Struthio camelus: one gene and its partner. The protein of the gene in region 1 binds, or shares a complex with, the protein of each later gene. Links are inferred from orthologs where the notes say so. Each region holds a gene or a part of one and is shown in the gene's direction. Other genes may lie near its edges.

The links.
Region 2: MYBL2 (region 1) and TFDP2 share a complex: the UniProt entries of both Homo sapiens proteins name them as parts of the DREAM complex. The link is inferred for Struthio camelus from reciprocal best matches to the Homo sapiens genes MYBL2 and TFDP2.

Annotation. Positions count from the first base shown.
Region 1 is NC_090959.1:5,763,438-5,767,338, reverse strand, and holds the start of MYBL2 (myb-related protein B), read left to right. Parts: upstream 1-1,350; 5' UTR 1,351-1,419; coding exon 1,420-1,439; intron 1,440-2,615; coding exon 2,616-2,709; intron 2,710-3,901. UniProt on the Homo sapiens protein: Transcription factor involved in the regulation of cell survival, proliferation, and differentiation. Transactivates the expression of the CLU gene.
Region 2 is NC_090950.1:15,383,399-15,387,299, reverse strand, and holds the start of TFDP2 (transcription factor Dp-2), read left to right. Parts: upstream 1-990; 5' UTR 991-1,105; intron 1,106-3,901. UniProt on the Homo sapiens protein: Can stimulate E2F-dependent transcription.

The DNA of each region.
Region 1 (3,901 bases):
CAGGTATGTGTAGATACCTATGCGCAGCGTGCACTGCAAAAACAGCAGCAGCAGTCCAAAATACGGTGGTGCCAATTCCTGGTGTGTTCAAGAACAGCTATAACTCGGGTAACTTCTTGTGCTTCTTTTTCAGGCCTGCTTTTTTTTGTGTGCGTGGTATAACAGTGCCGCCCCCTGGCAAGAAGGGATAAGGAAAGGTAGAGTGAAGGTTTTCCAGGAGAGCCCCAGCTGCTGGGAGCGTGCCGACCCGTGCCCTCCGCTTGGGATCCTGCGCTGCCCCCCTGGAGCAGTGGCGCTGGAAAAGCAGCATGGGGAAGGTGTTTAATTCTGATTGGTTTTTTTCTGCCCTCTCGATGGGAGGTAGGTGCCGGGAAGGCGAAGGGAGCAGCGCCGGGCGGCAGGCTGCGGGGATGCTCGGTGGTCTGCGGCTAAGAGGCTGGACGCGGCCGCATCGCGGCCAGCGCAGATCCCCTCCTAGGGCCGCCTTGTCGGACTGCCTGTTAAGCGAAGCTGTGCCCTGAGGGGTTCAGGCCTCTCTTTTACACCCCAAAAGGCAAACCTGTGCCTGTATCTGTGTCCGAAAAGTGCTAGGTTTTGCAAGGATAGCCACGGCCCTCGGTGGGACCCCCCCTGCCCCATGCGGGTGACCTGCGAGCGGCCCCTCGGCGAGGAGGGACGCGGGCAGCGGCGGCGGGTTAGAGCAGGGGCGCGAGGAGGCCCCTGCTGCGCCGAGGGGTCCTGGGGTGGCCACGCGGGGGCTGGTGGCAGAGAGGGCAGGAGAAGATTTGTCTTTAGACTTGTCCCGGCGCGGTTTTCTTTTTCAACTCCAGGTTACGGAGAGCGGTTCCCCGCAGGCGGACGGTTAAGCGGCCTCGGGGGCGTTTCAGCGTTGAGCTCGTCGGCAGGGCGGGCTGCGAGGGGGCTCCCCGTGCCGGGGTCCCTGGCCGTCCTCGGGGCCCGCCAGTCGAGGGAGCGGACTGTCACGTTTTTGTCACGAGTTGTCGCGCTGAGGGCTGCCGGCCCGCAGCGGGGAAGGGTGTCTGGGGGTCCTGCTCGAGGCCCCGGGCTCTGAGGGGGGCTCTGCGCCGGGTGGGAGCGGGGCCGGGCTGTGAGGGGACCCGCGGGCCGGGGCTGGGGCGGGCTGTGAGAGAGCCGCGGGCCGGGCCGTGAGGGGACCCGCGGGTTGGGCCGGGCCGGGCTGCGCCGTCCCGCGCGCGCCTCTTTGTGCGGGCGGGCGGCGCCGGGGCGCAGCGCGCAGGCGCGGCCCGGCCCCGCGGCGGGGGGGGCCGCAGTTGGCGCGAGATAGGAAAGTGCCTGCTGCTGCCGCCGCGCTGCCGCCCGCCCGCCTGGCCCGGCTCGGCCCGGCCCGGCCCGGCTCCCGCCCGACCTGCGGCTCCGCGCCGCCAGCCCGCGGCCGCCATGGCGCGCCGCAGCCGCGGGTGAGTGGGGCCGCCGCCTGCGCGCGGGGCTCCGTGCCCGCGCCTTCCCGCCGGGCGGGCGGGCGGGCGGGCGGAGAGGGGCAGGCGGGCGGGCGGGCGGGCGGTCAGCGCTGGGGGGAGGCGAGGCGCAGGCCGGCGGCGGCCCTGCCTGCAGCGGGTGCCAGCCCGGGATTCCCCCCCCCCCCCCCCACTACCCCCGCGGCGCCTGGGGCCCAGCCTGCCCCATAGCAGGCGGCAGGACCCACTGCCGGGCCCTCGGGCTCTGCCTCGGCCTGTTCCTGCCCGGCGCCCCGCTCAGCCCCGCTGCACGGGCGCTGCGTTTCGGAGCAGGGCAGCGGCCCGGCCCCCCGCTCCTCAGCTGCCCTCTGGGGCAGGGCTGGCTGCTCCCGCTTGCCCTCGCTGGTGTGGCGGGCTCCGTGCCACAGGCCTCTCCGCTGGCGAGGCCGTGGTCTGTGCCCTGTTCCTGCCCCTGAGCAGGGAAAAAGTGGTAAAGGAGACCTAAGCGCGTGCTTGGGGCTGCTGATGTGCAGCAGTCGGTGCCCCCAGGATCACTCTCCCAGGGCCAGCGCAGCTCCGTGGTGTGGGCTGCCCAGTCCGCTGCAGAAAGCTGCCCAGCATCTCCCTGTTATCGTTGGCCTTTGTGGGTGCAGTGCTGGTGGGATGTGCTTGCAGGAGTCCCTGCCTGGGTGGTGTGAGATGACCTCTCCCTCGAAATCTTGCCCCAAAACACTTAGCTTCTCTTCTGAGAGCTGCTCTGGGGCCTTCCAGACCATTTTGTTCTTGTTGAATTGTTTTGGGACTGGCTTCTCCTCCTTTTTTCATCTCTTTTGTTTACACCGGCAATCAAGGAAGGAGACTGATGATCTGCAGAGATGGAAAGTGGTGCCAGCCCTTAGACACAAAGCCCTCCCAGAGGGGAAAAGCTAGCAAAAATCAAGAGAAATGTTCCTTTCCTTGCTCTCTTGGCAGCATAGGAATTGCTAGCACACACCAAGATTTCAAAGCTGAGGACCCCTTTTAAACCTTCTGTATCCGAGTTAATGTCTGTGAGGTGTTGAGATTCAGCATGGGGAAGACCGTAGATCTGGAGCTCTGCTCTCTGCTCTGGAGGTTGCTCTTTCTGCTGTCTCTTTATGGGAGGAAGAAACAATAACCTTTTTTTGTTTCTTTCTTCAGTGAGGACCAAGATGATTTGCATTGTCAGGATACTGACTCGGATGTGTCAGAACAGCGGGACAGCAGGTGCAAAGTCAAATGGACACAGGAGGAGGTGAGTGAGAGCCTGGCACTTCCTGAGAGCAGGTGTTTCTGGGGAGGGTTGCAGATACTGTGGTTGTTTGGGGGACTTCTGGCATGGATAAGCTGTAAGAGAACAGCTGGACACATGGAAGGAAGTCGATGGCGTTTGGTGAGGATGTTCATTTATCATATCCATTAGCAGCTGGGAAAGGAGGCTGTCCCTGGCCTCTGGCATGGCACCTGAGGGGTGGGTGCCTCCATCCAAGTCCTCACTGACTGGCCACAACATCGCCTCATGTCTTGTCTCGTTACTGGAAAGGCCTTGGGCCTGTTTTGCTGACCTGAGCTGAGATCTTAGTGAGGATGGAGTTTCAGGTGAGTCTAAAGTGCAGCAGGAGGGTTGGAGCTCAGACCACTTCAGCTTAGGCATCCGAGTCCTGAGTGAGGCGTCTAGTGCCTGAGACTCTCCAGTGAGCGAAGAGCGGTTCCAGAGGATGGCTGAGGCGTTGCTGGGCTGAATCACACTGTGGTGCTGTAGAGATGCCCTCCCTTTTCTGTAGCGAGAGCAGAGAACGCTGAGAGTGTTGGGATCATGGTTTAGTCATCCTGGCCGAGAGCCTGAAATTAGTTGGGATGTTCTCTGCCTCCTAGTTCCTCCATAATCTCTATTCTGTGTGAGAACTACAAAATATCCTGTTGCTCCTGGAGTTTGAACGCTGAGTAAGAATGGTCTTTGTGCAGAGATCGAAGCCTCTTGGGCTCATGTTGGGCAGGGAATTATTTCTTACCTCTTTGCTCAGCCGGAGCACATGGGCAAGCTGGGCTGTAGCAGACTTTGCCTGATCTGTAGGAGTAGGGGAAAGGTGTGGTTTTTGACAGAAGTGCTCTAAGGGCTCATCAGTGCTGAAAGGCAGGAGGCTACTAGGTTGGCAGCGATGCACTTGGACAGCAAAAGCAGTGGTTGAGTTGAAGAGAGACCGTCTGCTCAGGGATGTGCTGGGACTGGATAAGGAGATAGCCCTGGCTGCACGGTACCGTTTGCGCTATACTAGAACAGAACGGAGAGAGGCCTGAATGTGACCACAGCAGCAGAGCTTTTGTATTATATCTCACTGTACAAGCTGGTCCTTGTACAAAGCCTTGGACCAAACAGTCCATGCGCTAGAGTGCTGCTAAAGGACAGCATGAGCTGCCTTCCTCCCCAGGATGCAGAATAATGAAAA
Region 2 (3,901 bases), on another chromosome or scaffold:
CTTTTAGTATTGTCTGTAAAGGGAGAAAAACATGGATTTAGCAAATTTTCTGTTCTGTATGGCTTAGATATTTCTAAAACATGGAAATAATAGTGTTTCGGCACACAAATACTCCCTTCCCCCTCCCCCCCGGAGTAGCACTAGAGTGACTTTGTGTTATAGAATTAAAAAAAAAGAAAAACGAAGAGTTACTGCATACCTGGGACGCATGTCTAGCGCTCTGCTGGAGCTCTCGTTTCTTTCAGAAATGTCACGTCGTGGTTTTGAACGGAACTAGTCTAGGGTTGCTCCCCCCCCCCTTTTTTTTTAAAACTCCCAAGACACTTGTCTATTCTTTTTGTCTCTTTAGGAATACTTAATCCCGCTTTGTTGAAAGTAACTTTTGATGACGAGAGGGCAGCGGCAGGGTCCCGCAGGTACCGCTGGGCAGCGGGACGGCGGGGCCGGGGCGGGGGTCGCGCTCGGCCCGGGCGGCCTTTGTTTCACAGCGGGCAGGCCAGTGCCGCCCGTCCCGCCGCCCGCGCAGCGGCCGTCACCGCGCCGCCGGGCCCCGCCGCCCGCTCTGCCCCTACCGGGCTGCCCGGGGCGGGGCGGGGCGGGGCGGGGCGGGGTGGGGCGAGGGGGCGCGGCCCTGCCGCCGCCGCCGCCGCCGCGGGGCCGTCAGGGGACACGGCGGCCCCGGGCCTCGGCCCTCGGCCGGCTCCGCCCTTCCGCCCCGCCCCCTGCACCGCCGCGCCGGGGATTGGCGGGCGGCGTGTGTACACACAAGGGGCCGAGCCAATAGCGCGCGGCGGGCGCCCGAGCTCACGCGGTGCGGCGGCCAATGGGAGCGCCCGGCTGCCAGACGCCGCCAAGCTTGTGCGGGGGAGAAGGACCCGGGCAGAGCACGGCGCGGCGGCGAGCGGGGCCGGGCGCGGGGGGAGGTGGCGGCGGCGGCGGCCGAGCTGCAGTCGACGCCACCCGCCGGGGCTGGCGCACCGGCCCGGGCGGGCTCCCGTCTGCGGGGCCTCCTCGCTGGCGGCGGGTGCGCGGCGCCGGCCCGGCCGAGAGGCGTCTTCTCCGCGCGGGGCCGGGCGGAGCGGCTGGCTCCCCGCCTCGCCGTCTGGTAAGGGACCGTCGCTGTCTCGTCGCCGCGGCGCCGATGCCTAGGCCGGGCCTGCGCCGCCGCCGCGCTCCTCCTTCCTTTCCCCCCCCCCTCCCGCGGGGGCGCAGCGGCGGCGCCTCCCCCGCCCCCCCCCCCCGGCGCCCCGCGGCGTTTAACGGCTGCGCCCGCGCCCCCCCCCCCCCGCGCGGCGGCTGGCGGCTCGGGCGCGCGGGGGAGGCGGCGGCGGCGCCTGCCGCGCCCGGCGGGGAGTCGAGCCGGTGCCTGGCACCTGCGGGCGGCGGCGGGTGACAGCCGCCCTGCGCGCCGCGGGAGCGGGCGGAGCGCTACGCTGCGGGCCGGGCCGGACTGGGCTGGGCCGCCGCGGCGGGGGCGGGGGGCGCTGCCTCGGCGGCGGGGGCCCCCCCCCCACCCCCCGGTAGCCGGAGCTCAGCCAGCGGCTCGTGGCCCGGCGAGCCCTGCGTTCAGCCTCGCGTGGTTGCGCTGACTGCCGGATTCTCTCGGGGGAGGGTTGGTGGTTTGAAAAACAATAACAGCGTGAACTAAATAGACGCCTCTTCCCGTGCCCTCTGAGTTGCAGGCCTCCTCTGACTTTTCAGCCGAAACGGGTTTAAAGATGGAGAGGAGTCCGAATGTAAACGCAGCCTTTCGGGTTTAGGAATACAGATCGTAAAGGCATGGCACAACAATAGCAGGAAAGCATAGAATAAGTAAACTTCCTTGAGATGTGGAAGAAAAAAAACACATCTGGGAACTTGCTTCCCCATGGAGCAGAGAGATAGTGCTGAACTATGTGTGAGAGCTCGGACGGTTTCTTCATATGCTGCCTTCTTCTGTAGAAAGGACTCTGGTTTTCATTTTCTCTGTCGTTTTTTATGATAGTTAAGCTGATATAATTTAACAGATGTGCTGTATAATAATGAAAAATGATTATATGCAATTATTTTAATGAAACTGCGTTAATACTTTTAACAGTTGATGAGTCTTTTTCAGTGCTATCCCTTACATAGTTTAGCGTTGCTGATAGAAAAAAGTCAACAAACTATATGTTATGTGATGTTATTTTAATTACTTGCCACTTGATGTAATCTTTGATTAAAAAACAACTGTATGCTGCTATGAACTGATGCTACTAAAAGAGAAATGAATGAATTATTTTCCAGCGCTCTGCCCTCCCCAGGTTAAATCTGAATCATTTGATTAGGATATATTTTGTTTTCTACAGAAAACATCATTTTATGCATGGACAACGTCTCATAAAGGAAGATCAGTGTTGTAATACATATGCAGAACTCTATTTAGCAGCTTAGGTTTGTGCCAGTGTCATGTATGCGCAAAACCATTGTGCATAGTCAAGTCCTGAATTTCAGTAGCTTCTGTTCAAAATAGCATCTAGTATGCTAAATATAGCGCTTTGAAAGAGCATGGAGAAGTTCATGCTATAGAAAAGCCTTGACAAGAGAAGTAGTCACAAAAGAAAAAAAGTACAGATATCTCTTCTTTGAAAACTTTTTTGTTGTGAAGAGAGTCAAGTGCTTCTACTAGAGGTAAGAATAATAGAGCGAATAATTTAGTGTTATACTGAGGAAAAAATGGAAAATGACTAAATATTAGCAAGATTATCTCATATGGGTTGAATTTAAGAGCAATCTTATTTTACTGTCAAATTCATTGGGCTTTCTTTTAACCACTTCCTGTTTGCACAGAAATCACTGTTTTTGCACAGAGGAGAAAAAAGAAACTATTTAACTATTAGTTTGCTGATGTAGTTAGCTTTATAGAAAACATGCATCACTGATAGGCGTGCTCTTCATTGCCGCAAAAAGTTCTGATTGTTGTTCTCGCTCTACAAAATGATAAGGTATAGTTTTCAATACGTCTTGAGCCCAGCTGCCTGGTATAGAAGGGGTAGGCCAAACAACTTAGTTGGGCAAAAGGCATAGTGCTGTTTTGCAAGAGATCTGATGCTACATGAGAAGTCTTTGCTTCTGCTTTTGTGTACGTTGGACTCTATTGTAGGGGCCTCTTGTGCATCTGGACGCACTTGCTGGACAGTTGTGCGCCGCTTCAAAATGAAGAAAAGGCCTTGCCTTTCAGCATCTTTCTGTGGGTTTGGCTAAAAGTGCTGTTACAGGACTAGCCAAAAAAAGGAACCAAATTTCCAACTTTCCATCCCCTTCTAGAGTGTATATCGTTAACTGATTTAAGGGAGCAGACCACTTCATTGTACCTAGAAGAGTTTGGTGCAATTCTCTAAAAGCAAAGGGCAATTAGTGACCTGATATGGTTAGGGAAGGGAAGCTGAGGCCCATGCTGCGTAAATACTAATATTTACGCCCGTGGGTCCTAATTTGAATCAGAATGGGTTCTTTAGTTATAGCTAATCTAATTCAGTTCTTGGAGTTGATTTCCTTGATATGCTACCTTAAAATAGCATTCTTAGCCCTGTCTTTATTCTGCTATGTTTTCTTAAATTGCCTTTTCTGCATGCTTTTTTGGTATAACGATTAAGGATTTCTCACCCACCTTTCTGACTATATTCATAGAACGTGACTACTACTAGTGAAACAATAGTGAATTTTAAAATAGAGTGAGTTGATTATCCTTTTTCTGATCTAGTGCAAGAAAATAAACTTATGGAGTTTCCGGGTGCAAAGCCAATCTGAATCAATCAGACAAGTTTATCATAAAATTTAAGATATTCAGTGGAAAACAATCCTTAGTGGAATAATAGTACATATATTAAATCAAAGTTCATATATAAGATGCCTATTGAGGGATCTCAAGAACTAGGTGTAT